Linked DNA regions of Oryzias latipes. The protein of the gene in region 1 interacts with the protein of each later gene in a pairwise test. Links are inferred from orthologs where the notes say so. Each region holds a gene or a part of one and is shown on either strand. Other genes may lie near its edges.

Evidence for each region.
Region 2: the proteins of E3 ubiquitin-protein ligase XIAP (region 1) and rfc5 interact in binary tests that used the Homo sapiens proteins (3 or more experiments, as listed by UniProt). The link is inferred for Oryzias latipes from reciprocal best matches to the Homo sapiens genes XIAP and RFC5.
Region 3: the proteins of E3 ubiquitin-protein ligase XIAP (region 1) and ercc3 interact in binary tests that used the Homo sapiens proteins (3 or more experiments, as listed by UniProt). The two-hybrid records come from large-scale screens. The link is inferred for Oryzias latipes from reciprocal best matches to the Homo sapiens genes XIAP and ERCC3.

What each region holds. Positions count from the first base shown.
Region 1 is NC_019868.2:22,021,371-22,028,856, reverse strand, and holds the start of E3 ubiquitin-protein ligase XIAP, read right to left. Parts: upstream 4,756-7,486; 5' UTR 4,605-4,755; intron 3,019-4,604; 5' UTR 2,986-3,018; coding exon 2,743-2,985; intron 2,645-2,742; coding exon 2,074-2,644; intron 1,964-2,073; coding exon 1,864-1,963; intron 1,550-1,863; coding exon 1,471-1,549; intron 1,223-1,470; coding exon 1,183-1,222; intron 126-1,182; coding exon 1-125. Other genes in the region: E3 ubiquitin-protein ligase XIAP, read right to left, coding at 6,729-6,743.
Region 2 is NC_019867.2:3,440,525-3,448,088, reverse strand, and holds rfc5 (replication factor C subunit 5), read right to left. Parts: upstream 4,589-7,564; 5' UTR 4,448-4,588; coding exon 4,401-4,447; intron 4,149-4,400; coding exon 4,084-4,148; intron 4,010-4,083; coding exon 3,873-4,009; intron 3,791-3,872; coding exon 3,711-3,790; intron 3,620-3,710; coding exon 3,546-3,619; intron 3,215-3,545; coding exon 3,055-3,214; intron 1,968-3,054; coding exon 1,886-1,967; intron 1,816-1,885; coding exon 1,686-1,815; intron 991-1,685; coding exon 720-990; intron 636-719; coding exon 536-635; 3' UTR 499-535; downstream 1-498. Other genes in the region: wsb2 (WD repeat and SOCS box-containing protein 2), read left to right, coding at 1-58; ksr2 (kinase suppressor of Ras 2), read left to right, coding at 5,940-6,113. UniProt on the Homo sapiens protein: Subunit of the replication factor C (RFC) complex which acts during elongation of primed DNA templates by DNA polymerases delta and epsilon, and is necessary for ATP-dependent loading of proliferating cell nuclear antigen (PCNA) onto primed DNA.
Region 3 is NC_019861.2:14,777,363-14,785,136, reverse strand, and holds the start of ercc3 (general transcription and DNA repair factor IIH helicase subunit XPB), read right to left. Parts: upstream 4,589-7,774; 5' UTR 4,420-4,588; coding exon 4,392-4,419; intron 4,076-4,391; coding exon 3,876-4,075; intron 3,775-3,875; coding exon 3,538-3,774; intron 3,460-3,537; coding exon 3,410-3,459; intron 3,328-3,409; coding exon 3,192-3,327; intron 2,990-3,191; coding exon 2,819-2,989; intron 2,691-2,818; coding exon 2,486-2,690; intron 2,078-2,485; coding exon 1,763-2,077; intron 1,578-1,762; coding exon 1,393-1,577; intron 191-1,392; coding exon 1-190. Other genes in the region: gpalpp1 (GPALPP motifs-containing protein 1), read left to right, coding at 6,393-6,477, 6,588-6,711, 6,798-6,878, 7,733-7,774. UniProt on the Homo sapiens protein: ATP-dependent 3'-5' DNA helicase/translocase. Binds dsDNA rather than ssDNA, unzipping it in a translocase rather than classical helicase activity. Component of the general transcription and DNA repair factor IIH (TFIIH) core complex.

The DNA of each region.
Region 1 (7,486 bases):
GGAACACGCCTTGCAGCTGGCCAGATGTCCACATGGGATGAAGACGATGCACGCGTTCTCGTCTAGGCAGATTTTACAGCGCTTTTCCTGCCGCAGCTTCTCCAGCTCCTCTAGAGGGTTCTCAACTGAAAAAAGAAAGGGTTAGTTTTCCACGGTCCCAATTGTGACAATCTCTAACTGTAAGAGCCCAAGCAGGCCACAGGGGGGTGCAGCAGGGTCATGGTCTGGGCATCCTACTTTTTTTCTTTTTTTTTTTTAACTCTGCCGTACTGCTTAGACCATGCTTGAAAATTCAATGTTTTCTATTATTTGTCAGCCCAGTTCGTATGTAATTAATGTAAAATTGCAGAAGATAATGTTTTTTGACTTTTAATTTAACCCCAACAAATGACTGAGCTGAGGTCAGGGCTCTGCAACCTGAAGCTCTGGAGCTACATGTGGCTCTTTGACCCCTCCTTTGTGGCTCTCATATTGAAGAATACTAAAATGTTTTTCATTTTAAAAAGTAACATTCTTTAGACCATACGATACATCAATCAAAACAAAATCGTCTAACGTTTGAAACGATTTGACCACAGCAATTCAGCTGGAGGTCAGTAAACACAACCAGAATTCATACTTAAGGCACGCTGAGACTAGAAGAGATTATTATTGAACAAAATTCAACAATTGCAAGTGCGCCATAGGGTCAAAAATCTAGTTTCATTTTAGCTTGTTAGATTTTTACAAATTTCTGGCTGAGAGGTATAAACAACAATAAATTAAACAGTGTATAGTTGTTGTTTTTTAATCACTGCTGACATCCCAATTCCTACAACAACATTTGTTACATTAAGATGATCATATGTGGTACAGAGAGTCTTTTATCTTGAAAGGAAGTCATGTAAACCTCTGTTAAAAGTTCTCACTATTTCAAACAAATTTATCTTTATGACTGTTTTATTTCTGTGAAAAATCCACAACTTGATTTATATTTACAATAATAGTAACAATAACATGAATGCAAATCAGTGTCTTTTTATGGCTCCTACTGGGTTCCGGTAAGTGAAAAATTAACCTGATTGGCTCTACAAGTGCTGAAGGTTGCAGACCCCTGGCTTAGGTTCTCCTTCTCAAAAGGTTCAGCTAACTAATACCATAGTGTACATTTTTAGATTTAGATACATATCCAAGAATATTTACCTTTCTCCTCTTCAAAAAATCCATTTTGATGTTCTGAAGCCTGGAAACAAAAGGGTCACATCATCACTTTTTGTAAATCCTTTTGTCTGAACTCATGAGAAACGTCTAACAGCTTTTGTTTTAAACACACTCCCCCACCAACTCTTTAACAGAGAATAGGCTAGGCATAATACAAAATAAACCTTCTTTGTTTTATTTAAAAAAAAAAAAACAATTTCTACAAAAACTAGGGAAGTGAAGAAGCTTCAGAAACAGATTTCTTAAATGAGGGGAAATAATATGCCTTACCTGTTGTGAGTATTTAGGTTCTTGTAGCTGAATTGTATTAACAAACTCTTGGCCTTTTTCTGATAAAAGAAAGCTGCATCTAAAATGGAATTTAAAAAAAAGGATGTAAGATACATACATAAATACACTTACATCCCTTGTGCTATCCTAGGCACGTTAACGTTGGGAGTTGGGTCATCTAGACCCACTAGACAGTGAGCTGAACCTTTTTTCTTCAATGATTTGTGATCTTCACTGGTGTCTATGGATTACATGAAATCTTTCCACCTTTGTCCACCTTTGTCATGTAGGGAGAACACGTCAATGGCCATCTTGACCCCATAGGATAGCACAAGGGTTATACGAATACATAATCCTTCTTTTATGGGAAAAAGCAAAGCTGGAGGTTTTTACCCAGGATAATATTTGGCATGTTCTTCCCAAGGATTGTCCTCAGGGTCCCAATCTTTCAAACCACCACCACATCTGAAACAGATCACTTCGTCTCCTTCTCCTAGAATAATAATAAAAAAATATTATGAACAAACATTTAGATTTAGAAAAATTAAAATATTACCGGTACATCTCATTTGTAAAGGGGATGTTTGAACAAACATGCTTTACCTTTGCTGTAGAAGCCAGCTTTAGCAAGCAGCTCGTGGTCAATCGGGTGCTGGACGCGTGCAAAAGTGCCGAGTCGCTCGTCAAGATTTTCCAAATTGACAGGTGTGCGATGTTGGTTTCTGCTGCCAGTCTCTTCATTTTCTCCTCCATCTCTTTCCAGAGGCACATTTCCCACGTCATGACCAAGGATGTAGAAGCAGTGGGAAAAATGTTTTTCATGCTCGTTCCAGGGGGTGTCCCCAGGTTTCCAGCCACTTAGCTTGCCTCCACAACTGAAACACTCCACTTTATCCTCCTTTCCTAAGTAGAACAAACCTGCCTGAGCCAAATCTCGAGGTCTGACTGGAGCAGAACGCGGCCACGAAGAGAAAGTTTCCAGGCGGGCTTCTTCGCTTTTCATATTCCGGTTCCGTGGATATGGAGTCTCATCAACAATGGCTCTTGTTCTCAACTGGTAATCTATATATCCTTCAGTTCCATCATGAAGGCCCCCATTGCTGAGGGGCATATGGGGATTTGACTTAAAACGGTTGAAGTGTGTGCAGCGGAGAAACGTGCACGATGGGGAAACCTGCATGGAAGGAAAATGTTGAACTTTATTATTTAAAAAGTTGAAAAAGAATTGCCCAACATTTCTAAACTATTTTTTTTTTCAACATAAACAATTACCTGTATGTGTCTGTCCACTGGTTGATCTTCCTGGGACCAGTTTTCTACCGTTTTCTGGCAACTGAAGCAGCGTACGCGGTCAGAGACTCCAGTGAAGAGGAAGCCAGCTTCAGCCAGTTGCAGCGGTGACACCTTCTTGCTCCAGCTGGAGTTGTAGAAAGATTCCAGACGATTGTTTATCTTAGAGTAATCAATTGTGGAGTCCGATTCCCAATTCCCATCTTGGCTGGGGTCACACATCATTGAAACAAGTAGCTGTGGCGGTAAACACAAAATCTAAAAGAAAAGAAACATGAAAAAGGTTTGAGTTAGAAGTGTAGAACCTTGAATAATAGATCATGGGGGAATCTCTTTTTTTTTACTTAAAGACCTACTCCGATCATCTTTTGAGCCATTTTTAAAGTGTTCCCAGGGGTCTTCTAATTACCACTATGCCATTTTTGTCCAAAAAAGTGCCCAGATTTTTCTGCAGAGCAGCAGTAGATCATTAGAAATTCGCCTCTGAGTTGTTGGCTGGACTGTTGGCATGGAGCAACGCCGCTTCTCTCCATGTTGCCGAGGGCTCTCTGTTGCCATGTTCTCCTGCTAGCTTCAGTCCTCCTCAGTCATTCAGATTTGTCAAAAATATAAAGTATTCTGGAAGTTAACCAGCTTCCCTATCTTTATGTCCACCTTTGACATCACATCGTGCTAATAAACATTGCATCAGCACGCCTGTGTTTCATGCAATTCTTATTCATGACACATACTAAAGGTGTGATGACTTTTATTCAAGCCTAGTCACCTCCCAGAGGAAATTATTTGTCAAAAACAGAAAGTAGAAGTCAAATATCTTTCAGTTGGACATTTTTTGAGAGTGTGTGTAGATAGAATGGTATGGAATGTCCATTCCATTCATAGTCATAATCTGTCCACATAGCTAGGCTCTTTAAAGTTCTTTTAAGCCGGTAACTCAGGAAACCAGATGGATATCAGTTGAAAAAATGAATGTTTTAGTGAAGGCACAAGGGATGGGCACGAGGGCGGCTCCTGTAGTTAACTTATATGCCAAAGGGTGTAGCAGATGTACTGTTCACCATTCTTAAAGAGCTAATCAGATCATTGATTCATCAAAACACAATGTTGGAACACTGTTAATAGGTTTCAGCGATCTGCCACATATGTTTGTTAGATTATCCAGAAATGTACTAGCAGCACAGTCAAAAACAATCACTGTTTTCTACAGGAGGTTGAGACTCTTGTGTGATATTGTTGCCACACATTAGGACAGTCATATGCTGCATTACTCCTTCTGACAAACACGCTGTACGTGGAACTATTTGGTGCACATTTAGCTGTGACATGGGATTTTATCTGCTGGTGGTGGAGGACTGCATGTGATCTTTGCACTGTCACGTTTTTCTGCCTCAGTGATCAAGTGATCAAATCAAAAGCTAACGGCCATATTTACTACAGTAAATATGCTGTCGCAAAGACAGTTTTGCTGTCTTTGCGACAGCAAAACTGAAATTAACATCTCTAACCGCCCAGTGAGCGACAAATGCGTATGCCGTCATTGTTGTGTTTCTACGAACTATCAACTGCATACTTTGCTCTGTTCACAAAGATTCCACCCACATCATTTAAAGGGCTACACATCACGGATTAAAAATTAATATAAAAGAAAAAAGACAACTGCTGGTGTTTTACAGTGGATAAAGGAATCTTACATAAGGAGTCAAATTATTATTTAAAAGTGCGTACCTTTGCTGTAACTATAGTTTGTTTACATTTCATGTAACATTTGACTAGCTAGCTAGTTAGCCTTGTTCGCTAAGCGCGCGATTACTTTACCAGCGGCTCTAAAAACATAAAATACTTGCATTTCTTTGCTCGTGTAGGGAGGTCTTCGGTTCGTGGTTTGAAAAGGTCCTTGATGAGATCGCCCTGTGAAGGAAATCGGCGTAGAAGAATTCCTTTGGCGTGACCTCCCAAAGTCAGGAAGTAAGAACAGCGTAGTCTTTGACAATGCGCATGCGCATCGTCGATTACGCAAAGAAAGTGGGGGTTCAATGAGAAGATTCCAGAGGTTCTGTTTCAGTTTCGTTATGGAAAAAAATATAAAACATTGTCACTTAAACAGAAAAATTTCAACATGCTTAACAGCTCAAGCCCGAAGATGTTATTGCTAAAGAAAGATATGTTTTTGTAACTTATGCAGTATGTGTTGAAACGTAGATTTGAAAAAAAAAAGAGAGAGAAAAAAAACCACGCAGTCCCGAAAAGCGACTTTTAAGCAAATCTCTAGGTTTTTTTTTTCTTCCCAGGGGGGGTTTCCCTTACAAATATGCTGTTTAAAATCAGTAAAATACACTGTCGACAAAAGAAACTAAATGAGTAAAAAACATTTATAAATGTGTCCCTTATGTCTCAAAGCAAATGCGACATTTATATGATTAATTTATTCAAATTTAGCTTTTTTTCTGTTTTTCAACGTTTGGAGCAAGAATACAAAATGCCACATATTTTGAAGTGGGTTTTAGTCTATGCTTTTATTATGAAGGATGCAGTTTTCTTTAAGATCACACTTTAACTTCTGAAAAGTTGGTGGGACAGTGGTTCAAATTTCAGTGTGTTCTGAGTCATTTTAAGTTCAGCCGGCTGTGAGGCTGCCCTGTCAGACACGCAGCATCCAAACTATACAACTTTAGATATATTTACATTTGGTCACATGAAATAAAAAATAAAACATTTTAAACAGCTTCCAAAACATAACCAATGTGGAATAGGGGAATAGTATTAGGCAGAAGTCATAAATAGGGTTTTAATAAACATCCATTTGTTCAAACAAATCTTCAGTGACATTTCTTTGGTTAAAAAAAATACAGAAAAGTACAGGTAAACCACTAGAAAAAAAGTTGAAGCCACCAAACACAATTTGATGAATTCACTTCAAGAAGCAGTGAAAAAGGGAAAGTACGAAGTTTCTGTGCAGTTTGGTAAGAAACCCCCATGCTGAGTGAGACTTGCTGTTTAGGTGACAAGGCAAGCATCCAACTTCCCCTTATTTGATGTGGGTTAATGGGGAATTACATGGTATAAATTAAACACTCTTTTCACACCCCCGCAAGTTTCTCACCCAAGCTTGGGTCCTCTACTAGAGGCCTGGGAGCTTGAGGGTTCTGTGCAGTATCTTTCCTAGGACTGAACCTTTCTGGACTGAGATGTTTCTCCAGGGATCTGCTTTAGCCACTCTTCTGGTCATTTCTAACATTACAGCCACTCCTCCACCTTAGGGGTTACTGTCCTGAGTGATCGGATAACCACAGGCACCACCGTCAAATTAACCTTAAAGCTTTCTCCAGTTCTTCCAGACTTTCCTCTTTTCTTTGTCCACCTCTACAGTGTCTGGTTGGTTCTCCATGACCATCTTGTCAGTTTGGATCTGGGAGTCCCACAGGATCTTAGCTCTCTCATTCTCTGCCACTTTTAGAGGTGCTTTCCCATTTGTGACCTTGGGGTTTCCACTCCAAATTCTGCACAGATGTACCTGTAGGCTCCAGTCATTTGGTTGCGATATCAGTAGAACATCCCATGGTCCTCCCAAGATAAAATGTATCGCATCCTCTGCTTTCCATTGCTTGGGGCATTCACAGGACACACTGTCGGTTGGAGCCTTGTGCTTCTATTCGTGGATCTTGGATGTTTCATCCTGGATAGTAACTCTAACGCTCAATAGGCCTCAGCCGGCTTCACCTCCTGGCCTCTTTCCCCATTTCTTTATCCAACACAAAAATCAAGACAACCATGGACAACCTTTCTTTTCATCATATTTTATTTTGATCTGACAAAAACAAAAACGGTCACACAATTGGAAAATTTTTATTTTCTTTTATTATTTAAAAAAAAAGGGGGTTCTAAAGGAAAAAAGATGTGATTGAGTGCCCTCCATTCTTGTCATGAAATCCAAAATGCCCAGTTCTAGAGTGGTTTGCTCCATTTTTCTATCACAATGAGGCAACCTACAGAGATGAACACATCAACCACATGTCAGTTATGAATTCAAATATTTCCCTTTCACACACCTAACCTGTCTGAGTGGGATACCATACATTTCTCGTAAAAACAAAATGCGGAACGTGTAGGCGAAACCAAACAGTGAAACTAAAATTACTGAATGAAACGGCTGGCATGTAGTATGCCATCTCCCAACACCCCATGTAAATGCAAAAAAAAAAAAAACTTTCACTTCTTTTTTTTTTTTTTACAGTATTTGGGTTTGTACTGTAAATCAGAATTCTAGATGATGGTTAAAATCCTCAAGCCCTTTAAATAGCATTTTGAGAAATCTAAGGAGGAATCATGAATCACAACTCTCTGATGACAATAAGATTTGAAAGTAAACTTTACAAAACTAAGCTTAGCATTGACCAACAAATGGAAAAGAGACAAATTCAGCAGGTTAACGACTTTTGTCTTTAACAAACTTGCTGTAGTGCTGCAGATTAGATTTAATTTTAATTCTTTAGGCAGCCATCCATGTATACACTTAAACTGGTTAAGACATAAATTATAAGTAAATAAAAATATTATAAAAGTAAAATAATATTTTCATTTGTTGCTTCGTTGTGTTTCTGTTGATCTGACTTAAATATAAAAAGAAAGTCTAGAGTCTTTTTTCTGCAGTAAAATATTTTAAAAGTCATAGACCTCTTTTTGTGTGCGATGGAGCAGAATATATGATTCTTTACAAAAAGTGAAAAGA
Region 2 (7,564 bases), on another chromosome or scaffold:
ACGCCTCAGGAACTGCGCCTCCTCCTCTGATGACGAGGAGGAGGACTGGGAGTCTTGAGGAGGAGCGCGCCGCACTCTCATCTCAAAAGGCCTTTATTTTTGGTTTTGGTTTTCTGATGGAAAACTGCCGTATAAAGAAGGAAAATCCGCTCGTGTATTCTACTTTAAATAATCCTGCACTAAGAGTTTCATTTATTGCACTACTACTTTAAGAAGCATTTAGTAAATGTTCTGCTAATTTAGCTTGAATATCACAGTTTTCTATGTCTAATTTATTTTGTAAATATTTGTTTTAACCCTTTGGTGGTCGGAGCGCTTCTGCAGAACCTGCACACCTTAATACTGGATAACAGGAAGGAACAATAATAATTATTAAAATGATTCAATCTCCAAGTTGAAAGATGATGTTTTTCAGGAAGAACAATCTGGCTTTAACCGGCAAGTTGTGTTTATTTTAATGATTTTATGCACCAACAAAAGAAAGAAAAACCGAGGACATTTTTGGGGTCTTTGAAGTATTTAATTCTGCTGAACTTCATGAAGCCTCGCTGACCACCAGGTCCCGGACCTCCTGGAAAGCCCCCACCATGGAGCTCAGCTGGATCTTCTCGTCCGTTCCCGAAGCGAGTCTGTGTCTGAAAGTGAAAAAAGACGCGTCAGCACATTTGTAGCGTTCATGCGGGGGGGGGGGGAGGGGGAGGCGGCGCGGCGGCACTCACTCCACGTCGGCTAACTTCACCAGCAGAGTCATGCGGGTAGCAGGAGGAAAATCCACTTCAGCAGAGGAAGAGGAAAACGTTTCAGAGGAGATGCTTGCTTTAGGATGTAAAACTAAGACGTGAAACTGTGAGGAGGATAAAAAAAAAAAATCCTCCCTCCACGATGGTAATGGGAGTATTTCTGCTGGATTACCTCTGTGAACGAGCAGGTGCAGCTCGGTGAGGATGTCATGAAGAGCCAGACCCTTCAAAGTTTTCAGCTGGAGGATTTCTGGCATCAAAAAGGTTAAAGATTCACACAAAAAAAAGCATTTTAGAAACTTCTTCAGTCAATCCAAGTGAAACGTGACTGAAATGAGTTTTAAAAACTACGTTTCACTGAATCTTCATTATTTGTAAAATATTGTCAAAATGTTTTTTAGACTTCATTTCATGAGCATTTTAATTTGAAAAGCTGATTCTGCCGCGTTCGGATCGCTGTGAAAAAAAACTATACAGTGCTGCACTATGTAGTGCCCTGGATTTTAGACACCCTGCTCACTACTTTTCTTTTTTTAACGGCGGATATGACGTCATCGATTTCACAAAGTGAAAATCTAATTACTATGAGCGTTTTGCGACGAGTATTTACAAGTCTGCTGAAGATAAAAACGTTGATGGTTTATTTAAAAAATACTTTTTTTATGGCAAAAAATGTTCCGACGCAATGCATTGTGGTCTATCGATCTAGTGAGCATTGATGCACACTGGTTTTTCGCAGAGACTTCTGGGAAATTTCCAGGACACTGGATTTGGGAATTGTAGATTCGGACAGCTCTACAAAGGGGAAGGAATTCGGACACGACCATAGTCCGACGTTAAACGTTGGAGGCCAAAAAAGGTTTGGGATCACTGATCTAACGGATGAAAGTCTAGATTTCTAAAAGAGCGGTTCCAGCTCTGTATGTGGGTTTGATGGAAGGATACGTTTGTAAGCCGAGGTGAAGTCTTTGTTGAGGCACCAGTCGAGGATGTTAGCGATGTCCGAGCGGAGCGGCTGTCCCGTGCAGGTGTACACGGAGTCCTCCGTCACCTTCCCGTACGCCATGCTGGTGCTCTGAAAGGACACGAAAAGTCTTTCCTCTCTGCTGGAGAACATCCCGGCAGGAGGAGTGAGGAGGTCCCACCTGCAGGACGTTCAGCGACCTCCTCATGTCGCCGGACGATAAAGTCACGATGGCCTTCATCCCATCCTCGGTGATGTCGATGCTACCAGACAAGATTCAGCTCATTAAAGGCCAAAAGGAAGTTTAAAGAGGAAAATTATTATGATCAGCGCTATGCATTTAAAGCTTATTTTTACAGATAAATCCTGTACTAGACGTCTGCATCTCATGGACGGATCACAACATCTTATTGCCCTAAAACGCAGCAAAAACATGGCACTAGCTTGAGCGGGAGGCGCACAAACACAGTTTGGTAAAGTCTGAAGGATATTTGGACTTCTAGGTTTCAAAATTCTTTTAATTAACATTTGAAACTGACAGCAAGTGTCTCTATTGGTTTGTCTTAACGTAAACGATGACCTTTAAAGAAAAATGCGATGTGTTTTTCAAATACGGAGAATTAAAGAGAGAAACGGCAGTGAAAAGAGCTGCTAAGGGACCGTCTACAAAAAGAAAGCTCTGTGAAAAAGTGATCAGAAGATAATAAACTCTCAAAAACAACACAAATACATAAATGGTTCTGTTTATATAAGTTAAGTCATAAATACTCATCATATTCATGCCTTTTAAAAAAATGGGTATTTCTTTTTCCCAAAGTAAAAAAAAAAAAATCACATCTGATCCAAAAAGCTCTGAAGAGCCAAAGCTACAGTCACCAAACTTTCTCACATGACTAATTATCAACTATTTTTACCAGTTAATAGTTTGTTATTTTTTCTAGTTGATGGTTGCACTATTTGTACTTAATTGTTCACAGAGGTGCTCTTTTTCTGACAAAATAAAGGGGGAATAGAATAAAAACGGGAAAACCTGCATTTGTTTATTCAACTTTTAAAATGTGTTATAAAAGTATTGGAGCGAGACTCGGGTATCAGCATAAAAAAACGTGAAATCGGATCAAAAAAAGAAAAAAAGAAAACTGAGAGATTCTTAATGAAAAGCTTAAAAAGCGATGAATGCGAATGGCAGAAACGAGAATGTAAAGTTTTTCATTCCATTTATAGTCCTAATTTTTCAAAAATCCTTTGAAAGCATCTTTTCATGTCAACATCACAGTCGTTTTTAATGCTTCTGACAGACTCAGAAAGTGAGAGACTTCAGAGGCCGAAAGCGGTCCCGGTTTTCCTCACCTCTCCTCCTGAATGACGTGCCTCAGCCGGGGGATCATCTGGTCCGCCGACAGAGGCCCGAAGCGGAACCTGGTGCACCGGGACTGCAGGGCGGGGATGATCTTGGAAAGGTAGTTGCAGATGAGGCAGAACCGGGTGTTTTCTGTGAACTTCTCAATCACTGAGGCGTACGGGAGACAGCAGGAAGTTTACAAAAATAAAAAGACAGACTGTTACCTGCCAAAACGTTAGTTCAATGGGATAAAGTTACTTAAAATCGTCTTATTTTGAAAATCTGCAAACATCTTAATTCGTTTATGAGATCGTTGACGATAACCTACTTTCAACACCTATGAAAAAAAAAATTTTAATCAACAAAATCAATGCAAAGGATTATTTTAGAAAACGGTTGTGTTTTCATGCAGACCCATGCATCATCAGCCAAATGATTTGGCTGCCCAGTGAGCCGTGTCGCTCACAGCAAGCCATACTTAGGCGAACAGATGGCTCACCTCGCCGCAATGCATTCTGGGCATCCTGGGTCATGGCATCGGCCTCGTCCAGGATCACCAGCTTGAAGCCTTTCCTGGGGATCAAAGGGAGGAAAAAGGAGTTTGGAGTTGTCTGGAGGGAATCTCTGCAGAAGGTCACAGAGAGCTGGAGCGGTACCGACTCACTTGAAGATGGTTCTGGTGCTGGCAAAACTCAGGATGGGACCTCGGACCACATCGATACCCCTGTCGTCTGAAGCATTCAGCTTGAACAGAAGAGAATCAGAATCAGGACCCTTGGAGATGAGAAAATCCCTGCAGACTAAAGATCCTGAGTGGAGACGGTACCTCCAGCACCATGGAGTTGAACTCCTTGTCCTTGTACAGTTGCCGGGCACAGGCCAGAATGGTGGAGGTCTTTCCGGTTCCAGGAGGCCCGTAGAGCAGGAGGTGAGGAAGCCGGTCCTCTCTGACGAACCTCTGGACTGAAGAGACATGGAGACCTTCAGAACTCTGGACACCACAGAGTCGATTTGCTTCCTTAAATGAACAAACTTACTGGTGCTCAGGATGTCTCTGTGTGAAATTAAATCATCGAGTTTTTGTGGTCTATATTTTTCTACCCTGAAATGCAAAACAAACACTTTTAGCACAAAAACAAAGACGTTGTTTAGTAGAATATTTCTTTTTTTCCCTTCTTTTTAAGAAGTGTGTAGGCCTTTAAAAAGCTGAACAAACTTAAAAGAAAACAAAACAAAAAAAAAAAGCACAGCCTCTGACTGGAGACAAACAAGAACTTGAAGGAGCAGCTAGCTTAGTCTTAGACAACAACGACATTCTCGCCGCTTCTCAAACGTCTCGTTCGTCGCGGCTCACCATGGCAGGTTTCTGCTCTGTAACGGGGTCCTACTCGTAGACGCCATGACTCCCGGTAACTTTATTTATTAGCCGGGCAAGTAGAGGAAAAACCCCGTCTGTTCTATGTCGCTTCCTTTTGCCGCGCTCGCGACAGAAACGCACGCCAACGTCATGACGTAACACCAACAGAATGTCGTTTTGCTTTCCGGTGGGTGGGATCATGGTGATATGTTGAAGGTAAACTGTAAAAAAAACCACAATATCAATTGAAGAATTTTAATATTTTCTAAAGTAAAGCTTAAAATTGTTTTTTGTTTATTTTATAAACATTTTTGAGTTGATTATCTTGTAAAATAGAAATCTCTGTGTTAGTTTGATATTTATCCGTAGGCGAAAACATTTTTGACCGATTTTCTTGAACATTTCAGAACGAAAATTAATGTGCTGTGGAAATCAGACTAATTTTAAAGATTTGTATAAGACTTTAAAGCATTTAACAGGAAAAAAACAATATTTAATCCCCTGATGTACATACATTTCTATCTAACTTGTGCAATAAGTATTTCGTAAAATAGGTAAATTAAATTAATAGAAAAATACACAAGTTTCTTAATCTGTTTGGTTTTTAATACGTTTCATTTAGAATATACGCTTTAGACGTTAACTATTTAGCTACCTAACCAGGCGACAACCAAAAACAATAAATAAATAAGTAAAACATGCCCCCCCCCCCCCCATTATTTAATAACTTGGGTGAGTACACACAATAAATGTTTTAAAAAATGTTTTCAAATTTTGTTTAACCTTTTAGTTTAACAGGCACTTCGTTTGCATTTTAGTAAGATTGCTGAATTATGTTTAATTTGATGAAATATCACCCTGAAAAATAAAGATCATTTGTCGCAGATGATGCGTTTCTCGTCCAGCAGACGAGAACCCACTTGAGCGCGCCGTGATCACGCGAGAGCGGCCCCTTACGGCGGCGCTGCGATGCTGTTGCTGTGGCTTTGATTGACGGGAAACATGTCGGTGTGGTGGGAGCGAACCGGGATGCAGCTGCTGCCAAGGGAGACAGGGAGTACCTGCATCCAATCCGCACATCAGCACCTTTAAAACCGCCAGGTTCTACCCGATCCGGCTGTTTAGGATGCGCTGAGCAGCAAATTTGGTTCCTTTCCCCCCCTTTTTTTTCTCCCCCCCCCCCCCTTCCTCAGCATCCATTAGAACGGAAAGGACGCCCGATGGATGCTGTAGCAGACCGCTCAGCCCCGCTCCGCATCCTCACATTGAGTTTGGTCTAGTTTACATCCTTGATCATCCAGCTGGAGCTGCGAGGACTGTTGTTGCAATGGAGGCGACCCTCTCACGGCTCAAAGCCAGAGTCTAAGCCTGCAGCATCTCTTTCCACTGCGCTGTGCTGGTTGCTCTTTTCCGCGGGCTCCTCCACGTTTCTTTCTTGAATTATCCTCTTTTTTTAACCCTCTGTTCTTCTTCTTCTTTTTTTGTCTTGGAAATACAAACTAAGGGGAAAAAATACCATCCAGCGCGCGCTAAACTATGAACGAGGAGATGACAAAAAGCGAGGAGCAGCATCTCAGTTTGCAGAAAGCCTTGCAGCAGTGCGAGTTGGTGCAGAACATGATTGACATAAGCATTTCTAGTTTGGAGGGTTTACGGACCAAATGTGCCACATCCAACGACTTGACACAAAAAGAGATCCGAACGCTGGAGGTAAGCGGCTCCCTGACTCAATTACTGCTCTGCATCCTCAACTAAAGCATCACCCAGGGCTGTCAGTTTTTACAGGCCACTCTGCACGTTTATGCTGTTTTTTTTTTTCCCAGCAGCAAACTACCCTGGTGCTGTCATTGCATCCATATGCAGGGGCTCCAAGCTCCACAGCCTTTCATCCGTGCGCGCGGCTCTGTCTGTGCAGTGCAATAAATCTCGAGGCCACGGGGCTGCAGTGGGCTGCTGGAGACTTGCGCATTCTGCAGGTGGCGGGAAGAGAAGGTGGCTCTCCTCTTCATCAGATATATACGTGAGGCCTGCGCGTGCAGCCCCGTGTTTACAATCCGTTGCCGGTGTGCCATGCCAGCCTGCGCGCGCTCTGGGCTCATCCCAAACCCAGCCGCCGTTACGCAAGGCGACCAGATTATACCGACAAGGTTACAAAACATCCCTATCCTTTAATTGGCCCGTGGGGGTATTCTGTAAATTACGTTATGTAACGGTCACAATAACCCGGTGTTGCGTTTGAGATGGTCCACCTTTAACCGGCCAGCGGACCTGCTTCAGAGTCAGAGCGCCGCACGCAGGAAGAAAGGTCAGCGTGAGTGCTGCGGACGCAGAGCAGCCATAAACACCTGTGAGAATGTGACGACGCTGTCCCAAGAGATTAAAACAAACAGTATTAAGTGCAATAAGAGGCCCATAAAGCCATCTGAGGTTCTGCACGCCTTCAACACACTCTAACCCCCCCCCCCCCCCCCCCAGGGGGATTAACAGAACTGAAAAGCTACATTCGAGACCATAAAGTCACCTGAAAGAGAGAGAGTGCTGCACACATCAACATGCTGCTCTAATGCTTCATGTCTGAGCTCTTCATTGAGGAGACACTTAATCCATAAACATGGAGCACAAACATCAGGCTGGAAAGTGCAAAGCAAACAGGAACGTTGTGAGAATTATATTATGCACTTGCAAAGGTTATAATTTTTTAAAGATGAATGAAGATCAAACATAATGGTGGGGTTGTTACAAATCTAGCTTTCTTTTAAGGCCGTCCCTGATGAAAATTGTGTTTTCTGTGTTTTTCACATGATCTTGTGGCATTTTCTTTCTGATGAAGGAGGACATTTCTTAAAAAAACTAAGATCAAAATAGCATTTCGGAGTATTTCTTTTTTTTTCAAATCATCGTGAATCCGGAGTAGACAAAAAACGGAAAAGGTTTTGGGTTTGTATAACAGCAAGCCTCAAACCCCCTGCTCCGCTCCATCCTGATGCATCCACTTGTAGATGACATGTACATCTTCGTTTTCCTCGTCTGAACTGGCATCTGGCTTAAAACTGCGGCTGGATAGCGCCAATATTTCTCACCATTTTTGTTAAACCCACAATGTCACGTTGGGGTGATGAGGGGCTGTAAGCCAGTGGGAGAGTGTGTAAACAAAGGGATGA
Region 3 (7,774 bases), on another chromosome or scaffold:
CGGCGTATTCCTTCAGGGCAAACACGTTGTCAGCAAACACGATAATTTTGTCGTTGCGCCGCTCGTGGAAGCGAATGAGAAACTGGCAAGCACGGAATTTGTTGGGGTTCATCGTGTAAAGCAGAATCCGCTTCTTCGTCTTAATGGCCACATATTCTCGGTAAAACTCAGGAGACATCGGGCACCACACCTGAAGCAAAGACAGTTCAGTCACTCAGACTGCCTGAACTGACAGTGTGATCCAAGAAGAAATGCTTTTCTTTTATTAACAGAGACCACAAATAACCGTAAAAAATATAACCAAATGAATAATTTGATCTATTGTTTAAGAAAGGAATACAGGTGAAGACAATCTAAAAAAAACATTAACAGTAAAGGAGCAAATAATCCCAGTCAAACACAATAAAAAACAAATGTATTATGCAGATTTGGTAGGAACACTGACATCCTTGTGATGTAAGAGGAGATTGGAAATTTGAACAATAATTAGAGGCAGATCCTTCCTCCTTCCGTTTCTGTTGTACCTCACAGAAATAGCTCTTAATGATCTTTGAGACGTTAACCAGCATTAATTAAGTTCTAAAGAAACCTCGTTAAAGAATTAATGGACAAATGTTTTAAGACAACAGTTACGGCACTGTTTAGCACAATGATAAAGAAGTTTTTATATGTTCCATCTTTGTGTTAGAAGAAGCAAGTAAAGTAAGTGAATTCTTACTCATTTCTATATAGTAGCAAGTTCATACAAAAATAGGCTATAAAGAAGCTTAAACTGCAGCTTGCATATTTGTGGAGACTTTCCTTCATCCATGACAAAGTCTTTCGGATAAAAGGCAAAACATCTTCAACTTAAAAAAACAAACCAAGTCCAGAAGACTTTTTAAAACTTTTTCTGATCTGTAGCTATAAATTGAAATATTTTAAAATGTATTTATTTCTTTATTTAATTTTAAACATTACATTTAATTTGAATATAATATAAATAGAGTGGCTTTTCATTGAAATATTTTAAATAATTTTTTATAATTAATTATTCAGACAAGCTTTTAGGTAGCATTAAAAAAAATTGTGAAAAGACACGTTTAAAAAATGAATGTTGATTTAAAAGATATGTAAATAAAAAAGGAAAATGTTTTAAAAGAAATTTAGAAAGCAAAAAAAAAAGTAACTGAATAATTTATTTATATTTCTTATTTTGATGTAATTTACTGATTAAAACATATCCAATTGATCTGTTTAGTTTTTTTATCAAATGACATTCAGTACAGCTTTGACTAAAAAAAAACAAAAAAACTCAATATTTATCAGGTTAAAAAGTCAAGAAAAGGCAAATGACCAAAGCTGATATAATCATGAAATATGTTGTGGCCTTAACTGTAGTGGAGTTCTCACCTCTGCACACTGGACTTTGGCTATGTATCCGTTGTTCTGTAGTTCCATCCAGTTCGCCTCATAGAGCTTCGGGCCTATCAAGAAGTTCAGATCCACAATCTTGTCATCTTCTCTGACCAGTGTGGCAGTGAGGCCCAGTTTGCAATGAGCTTGGACGATGGTGAGAACCCGACGAAACATTCTTGCTACAGAGAAATGAGAGTAGTTATGCAAAGATCAATTCTTTCACAAAAACATTTGCCCCGATCCTTTCTGTTCCTCTCTCTGCATCTGAAACTGTTATAAATTGTCCTTTTGGAACATACATATGCAGCTTTAGAGTGCATGTTAAATAAAACTATGCTCTAAACTACAAAGCTGAAGAACTCACCAGGAATGGTGTGCACCTCATCCAGAATAATGAGTCCCCACTCCTGGCTCCGCATCCACTCCATGACCCTTTCAGCTTCCCAGGATCGCTTGGTGGTGTGACCCAGCATGGAGTAGGTGCTGATAGCCACTGAGCAGCCGATAGGCTTGTCCTTGGCGTCGGAAGTGAAGCGGCAGATTAACGACTCGTCGATGGTGGACCACATCTTGAACTGAGCTTTCCACTGCTCCACGGACACGGAAGAGTTTCCCAACACCAGGCAGCGTTTTCGCACCGTGCACGCTGCCGTGACGCCCACCAGAGATTTCCCCGCACCTGTGGGTCAGAAGTAGACATACTGATAGAAACTAAGTCCAATACTGAGATTTTTATTTTTTTTGCAACAATCTATTGAAAAGGTTTTGCATTTGCAATAGTACAATGGCAATACCACAAAGAAAAAACACATAAATAAATGATCCTGCCTGAATTCCTTATTAACAGAAAACTAGAGGATCAACATAACAAGTAGAATCCAAATGTTTCGATTGTAAAGCTAGTTATACTTTTATGACTTAGTTCGATGGGTAAAAATAAAAAGCAGGACTTTTTAAAAAAACGAACTCCAAGCTATTGATATTAAACTAAAAATCTGTCTCTCCAAATCCTTTAATTAAACGAATTAAATGCCTAAATGCCTTTTTAGTCATCCTCGGTTCTCTTAAAATCTCCATGGCAGCTTACCGCAGGGCAGCACGATGACTCCAGATCGTGCACGTCCATTCCCGAACATTTTGCGCAGACTCTTCTCCTGGTAGGGCCGCAACACAGCAGTGGGCTTCAGGTCTATGGCAATGTCCGGGTTAACCGTGTCATTGCGAAAGTCGTACTCGGCTAAGAGAGGGTACTCCAGCTGAATGCAACGTTTTTGTAGCTCTTCAATCATCTCCTACAGCAAATCAGATTTAAAAAAAAGAGAGAGAAAAACTTGGCGATTTCTTCTTGATAATGTTAAATTTGAAGTAAAGTGCCAAAAAGAAAACTGTGGTTATATTTAGACACCAATCCCAAGCATACTTGGCGAATTTCAAAGGAGACTGTCTGAGTCTCTTCCTCCTCTTCTTCATCTTTATCCATTTGCTCATAGTATTTGAAGATGTCCTCAGGAACCTGTTGGGTGGACGTTTGCCCATCATCAGGCTGCTGTGAAGTGGAAGCACTTCCTCTTTCTTCAACCGATTTCGTGATCTGTCAAAAACAAAAAGAAATGCATCTTTCCACAGAATCTTTTGTGACACACAGAAAGCACATCCGTCTGTGCATTAGACACCTTAGCTAAACATATTTTCACTTTTTTTATTTACAAATTAAAGAATTTTAAAGTACCTTCAAATATGAGCATTGCATGTAAAAAATGTCATTAAATGCAAAGAAATCCTGCTTAGCGTACCGCTGGCTTGCTGTGGATGACCTCAGTAATGAGCTCAGAGTCTGCTCCGCCGGCAGTGCGAAGACGACAGTCACGGATAACGCTGTCCTGCAGGAGGCGCTGGATCACATCAGGGAAGGCACTTTCCACAAAATACCTGAAAGAAGACAAAACCCGTAAAGGGTGCTAAAAAGACGCTTGGTGATAAAATAACTAACGCACCATCCAAATAAACTGACCTGTTGTGCTTGAGCACCAGCTTGACTTTGCCATAGCTCACAGTACAGAGCTGATCAAAAACAAACAGAGATAAATAATAATATTCAATCGCCATAAAAACCTTTTCCATCAGATTTTGCTGTCAAACCTTTATAAACTGTACAATTCCATCTGGTACAGATGTTTTGCTGAGCTTCTGCAGATACTCCACAATATCAGAGGTTTGCAGTCCCACACTGACAGCTGCATATAGAGAATATGCAGTCAGCTTGTACTCATGGATGTGGTTAGGTCTGCACACAGGCTCTGCAATGGCCACCAGGAAATCCTGGGCATATTTATACACTGGTGAGAAGGCTTCCAAAAAGATGTGCCCATCTGGAGCCTAGAAGAGGTAATAAAAAAATTAAACAATAATAATACTTTGCAGTTGCGCAGAAGCTGGAAGCCTGAAATGAGTCCAAGAGCCCATCAAGCACAGCTTACCACCCAGAGCGGCCGTGAAGAGTGGTCATTCTTCAGCAGCATCTGAACACGGTAGTCTTTGGCCCCATACTCATCCAGCTTTGTACCGGACTCATCCACCTGTTTTCCTGCAGCAGCGGGTACGGCTTCCTGGGACTCGTTACCGGCTACCTCTTCATCCTCCTCTTCCTCTTCATAGTAACGTTTTTTGGACTTCTTTTCTACAGCCCAGCAGGTCAAGAAATGAGACAGTATTCTCACACAACTGCTTTCTAGATAGACATCACTGATGTGATGTTTATTTAGTTATTTATTTTAAGACGACTTATTTACATCAGATCTGACCTGATCAAAGTAATAACAGTGAGTCAAAAACAAACCTGCCCTTCTGTCCTCGCAGCAGAATTATCTTACTATCATTTGCTTAAAACTAAATCGAGAAGCTTATGTATTATGACAATATAAAAAATAAGACAAAATATTAAAAATGAGTGAGTGATGAGAATGAGATTGTTGTTGTGTAACGACGTCACTTACCCCGCTCTCCTCTGTCCTTTCTACCCATTATGAAATGTCTGTTATAAAATATGTCTAATACATTATACAGAATTAAATTATTCTACGGAAAATTTGCAAAAGAGCACTAACAAGTGCGTCAATTTCAAGAAATTTAGCCAAAATGGTGAAAATCCAGATGAAGAAAGCTTCCGGTCCTCATTTTTTCTTCTTTATTGAAGAAACCTAAGCAGCGCGTTACTGCCCCCTTCTGCCGTGGAGTGGAACCTCACAATGAGATGCAGAGCTTATTTTTAGCTTTCCAGTTGTAACCTGTAGGAGTCTCCACAGCAAAAGCCTCTGCCTAACCACGTCCTATGTATTCTCCACCACTATATAACACCCTCATGTCCTCCTTGACTACATCCTGGCAGTTCTCACTCAACGTCCTTTTATCAATGTTTAAACCATCTAGCCCTATGGAGTCCTATACTGTTCATAATTCAATAAATAAATATAGCCTACCCCCAGAACATTTAACAGGCGCTGTCCCAGAGCAGAATCAAGTAAGTGTCTGATAAAGTGGGTAATTTATAAAAATCCAAGCTCGGGTCCTCTACCAGAGGCCTGGGAGCTTGAGGGTCCTGCGCAGTTTCTTAGCTGTTCCTAGCACTGCGCTTTTCTGGACTAAGTGCATAACAGGGTGTATAATGTACTAGACTGTGGACTGTGAGCACTAAAATTGTACCTATTTTCCCTTTGCACCATTGGTAGATCTTGGAATTCAAACATTTCATCTTTCCCTCCTGATCTATTTTTATTTCTTTTGTGCCTGAATTGTATTCTTTATTTGACAACAAACTTGATTATATCAAAGTTAACATTGAAGATTCAACCTCAGTCACTACATTTCAATTTCTTCTGCCTTTAGAGGCGGCATGTGGTGCATTGTTGGGGAGGTTGACCTCTGATTGGAGTATTGCAGGTTTGATTCCTGCCTTGCCCACCCATGTTTAAGTGTCCTTGGGCAAGACACTGATCCTCACGTTTCTCCTGGAGGGACAGGCTAGCACCATGCATGGCAGCAGAGCCACCATCAGTGTGTGAATGTGTGTGTGCATGGGTGAATGTGACTTTGACTCAAGATCCCTTTAGACCAAATTCAAGGTAGAAAAGCGCTTTATAAGTATTTACCATTAGCCACAGTGTTTTCATGGAGTGTTTTTAATCTGAAAGTTTATGGAAAAATCTAGTGTATATAATTAACTGCAAAACTTTAAAATTTCTTTCTTGCTTTTATCTTAACACATTAGTTTATGTAGTATTTTCAGCTGCACAACCAAATTTTCTGGATTCTGTAATATTAGTATGAAATCTCAGGTTGATCCCAAGGTCTACCTCAGTGATTGTATTTTGCTCAATACCAGTTTGTACAAGTATGACAACCTTTACTTCTATATTTTCACTAATTACAATACATTTTTACTACAATATGAATATATGAACTACATGACTATATAAGGCTTGATAAATGAGAAAAAAATACAGCAGCTAATTAGTACAAAACCATTAGTACAAAGTTTTTTTCCCCAAAAAACTTTATTAACAATTGAGTCATCATACAGAGATCAACAGTAACTATATAAACAACGTCACCACAAATAACAATCATAACCTAACATAACATATATATATGTAGAACATAAAATAAAAGAATGAACATGATACACAGACGCACATGCGCACACACAAATACACAAACACACAAAAAAGAACATGAACCATCCAAATAGTTTAATACTTGTTAGGGGTTCTCATTAAGTTTATATTTCTGAAAACATTAGTCCAAAGTAATACGACATTAATAAACCCATGCTTTTATTCTGAAAGCACTTTTCCGCCTTTGACCAAACAAATGTATTTACTTCCTGTGTAAAAGGTCAAAAAAGCTTTTTATGGACGATCTTCGTTTTGTGGTTTGTGAAGTGTTTTATGTCGTTTAACAAAATCTGATGAAAACAGTGAATTAATTCAAAGTCCAAAATGTCGTCGGAAGACTTAATTGGACCTGCTTTGCCTCCAATGTTTCTAAAGGAGAGCTCCGAGGACGAGCTTAATGAAAATGACTGTAAGTTAAGGAATCAACATCCAAGTATAATTTTTGTTGCTACGTCAGCAGTTCATGTTAACTCTTGTAGAAGTATTTTTGCTTTAGTTTGATATCTATCTTTTCTGCAGTTGCTGGGCCGGCATTGCCTCCCGGATACAAACGGGAAGAGGCGTCGAGCTCTTCGGATGAAAGTGAGCCGGAGATCGCCAGGAAAAGAGCAAAGACGGGGCACAGCGCTGGAGACCGGCCTGAGTGGGTTCACTAAAGTGTTTCAGGTTCGAATCCCAATACATTGTCTCTATAGCCAAATAACGACATTGGATTCGGTCTCTGTGCAGACAGAGCAGTAATGAAGATGACGGTTTCTTTGGGCCAGCTCTGCCTCCAGGATTTAAGAAACAAGAGAGTTCTCCTGAAAGGTGAGCAGATGCCCTAAGAAATGTTTTTAATGGACTATAAAAGTAAAAAAAAAAAAAAAAAAAAGAAACTATCGTTTGAACTGTTTTAATTGTGATTGTGCATTTTTCTGGTTAGGATGGAGGCAGGAAACTCACTGATCATCAACTGTTAATTAACCTGTTTTATTGTAGACTCTTTTGTCATAGTATGACATTTGCCTCTATAAAACCCTGGTTCAAAAAGACTTAAAGATTTATTCAGAAACGGCAAAGTATAGAGAAAATACAGCAGCAAAACAAGCCTAAAGTTAGACCTAAAGTTAGATTTGAGGTGTTCCTGCAGAAGTGCGGCTTTAACTCTCGCCAATGTGGAGGTCTAGATTAAGTCGGCAGTCGTTATAGATTTTGTTCCTCGATCCTCAGTCTTGCTCTGATGATTTTTTCACACAGAAATGGCTTTTTTGTCCTCCAGCTTTTCTAAGCCAACTGCTATTTTTTTCCCAGTTATTCAAAATTATATCACTTTCCTTGTGAATTGACAACAGCTTTATTGTCAGACTAGTGCTCATGTTTTTTCTTTCTTGGAAACCAAACCAAAAATGCTCAAACCAGCCCACAGAAAAAAACCCTCTTTTTTTAGAGGGGCTGTTGATCAGTGACACCCAACTGCAGCTACTAGGTCTGAGCGCCATTTAGAGGTACTTACTACCCTCCTATTTTCATTACATTTTGGTCATTGCAGACAGTTGTGGTGTGGTTTGATTAAAGTCAATACTTCCATCATATTTTTGTTCATTCCCACATCTATAAAGGAACCAGCAAATTAGGGCTAACAAACTATGCCAGTTGATAACATTTTTACATTATTTTTGAAGGCGCCCCATTGTTGGTCCCGCCCTGCCCCCGGGGTTTTGCAA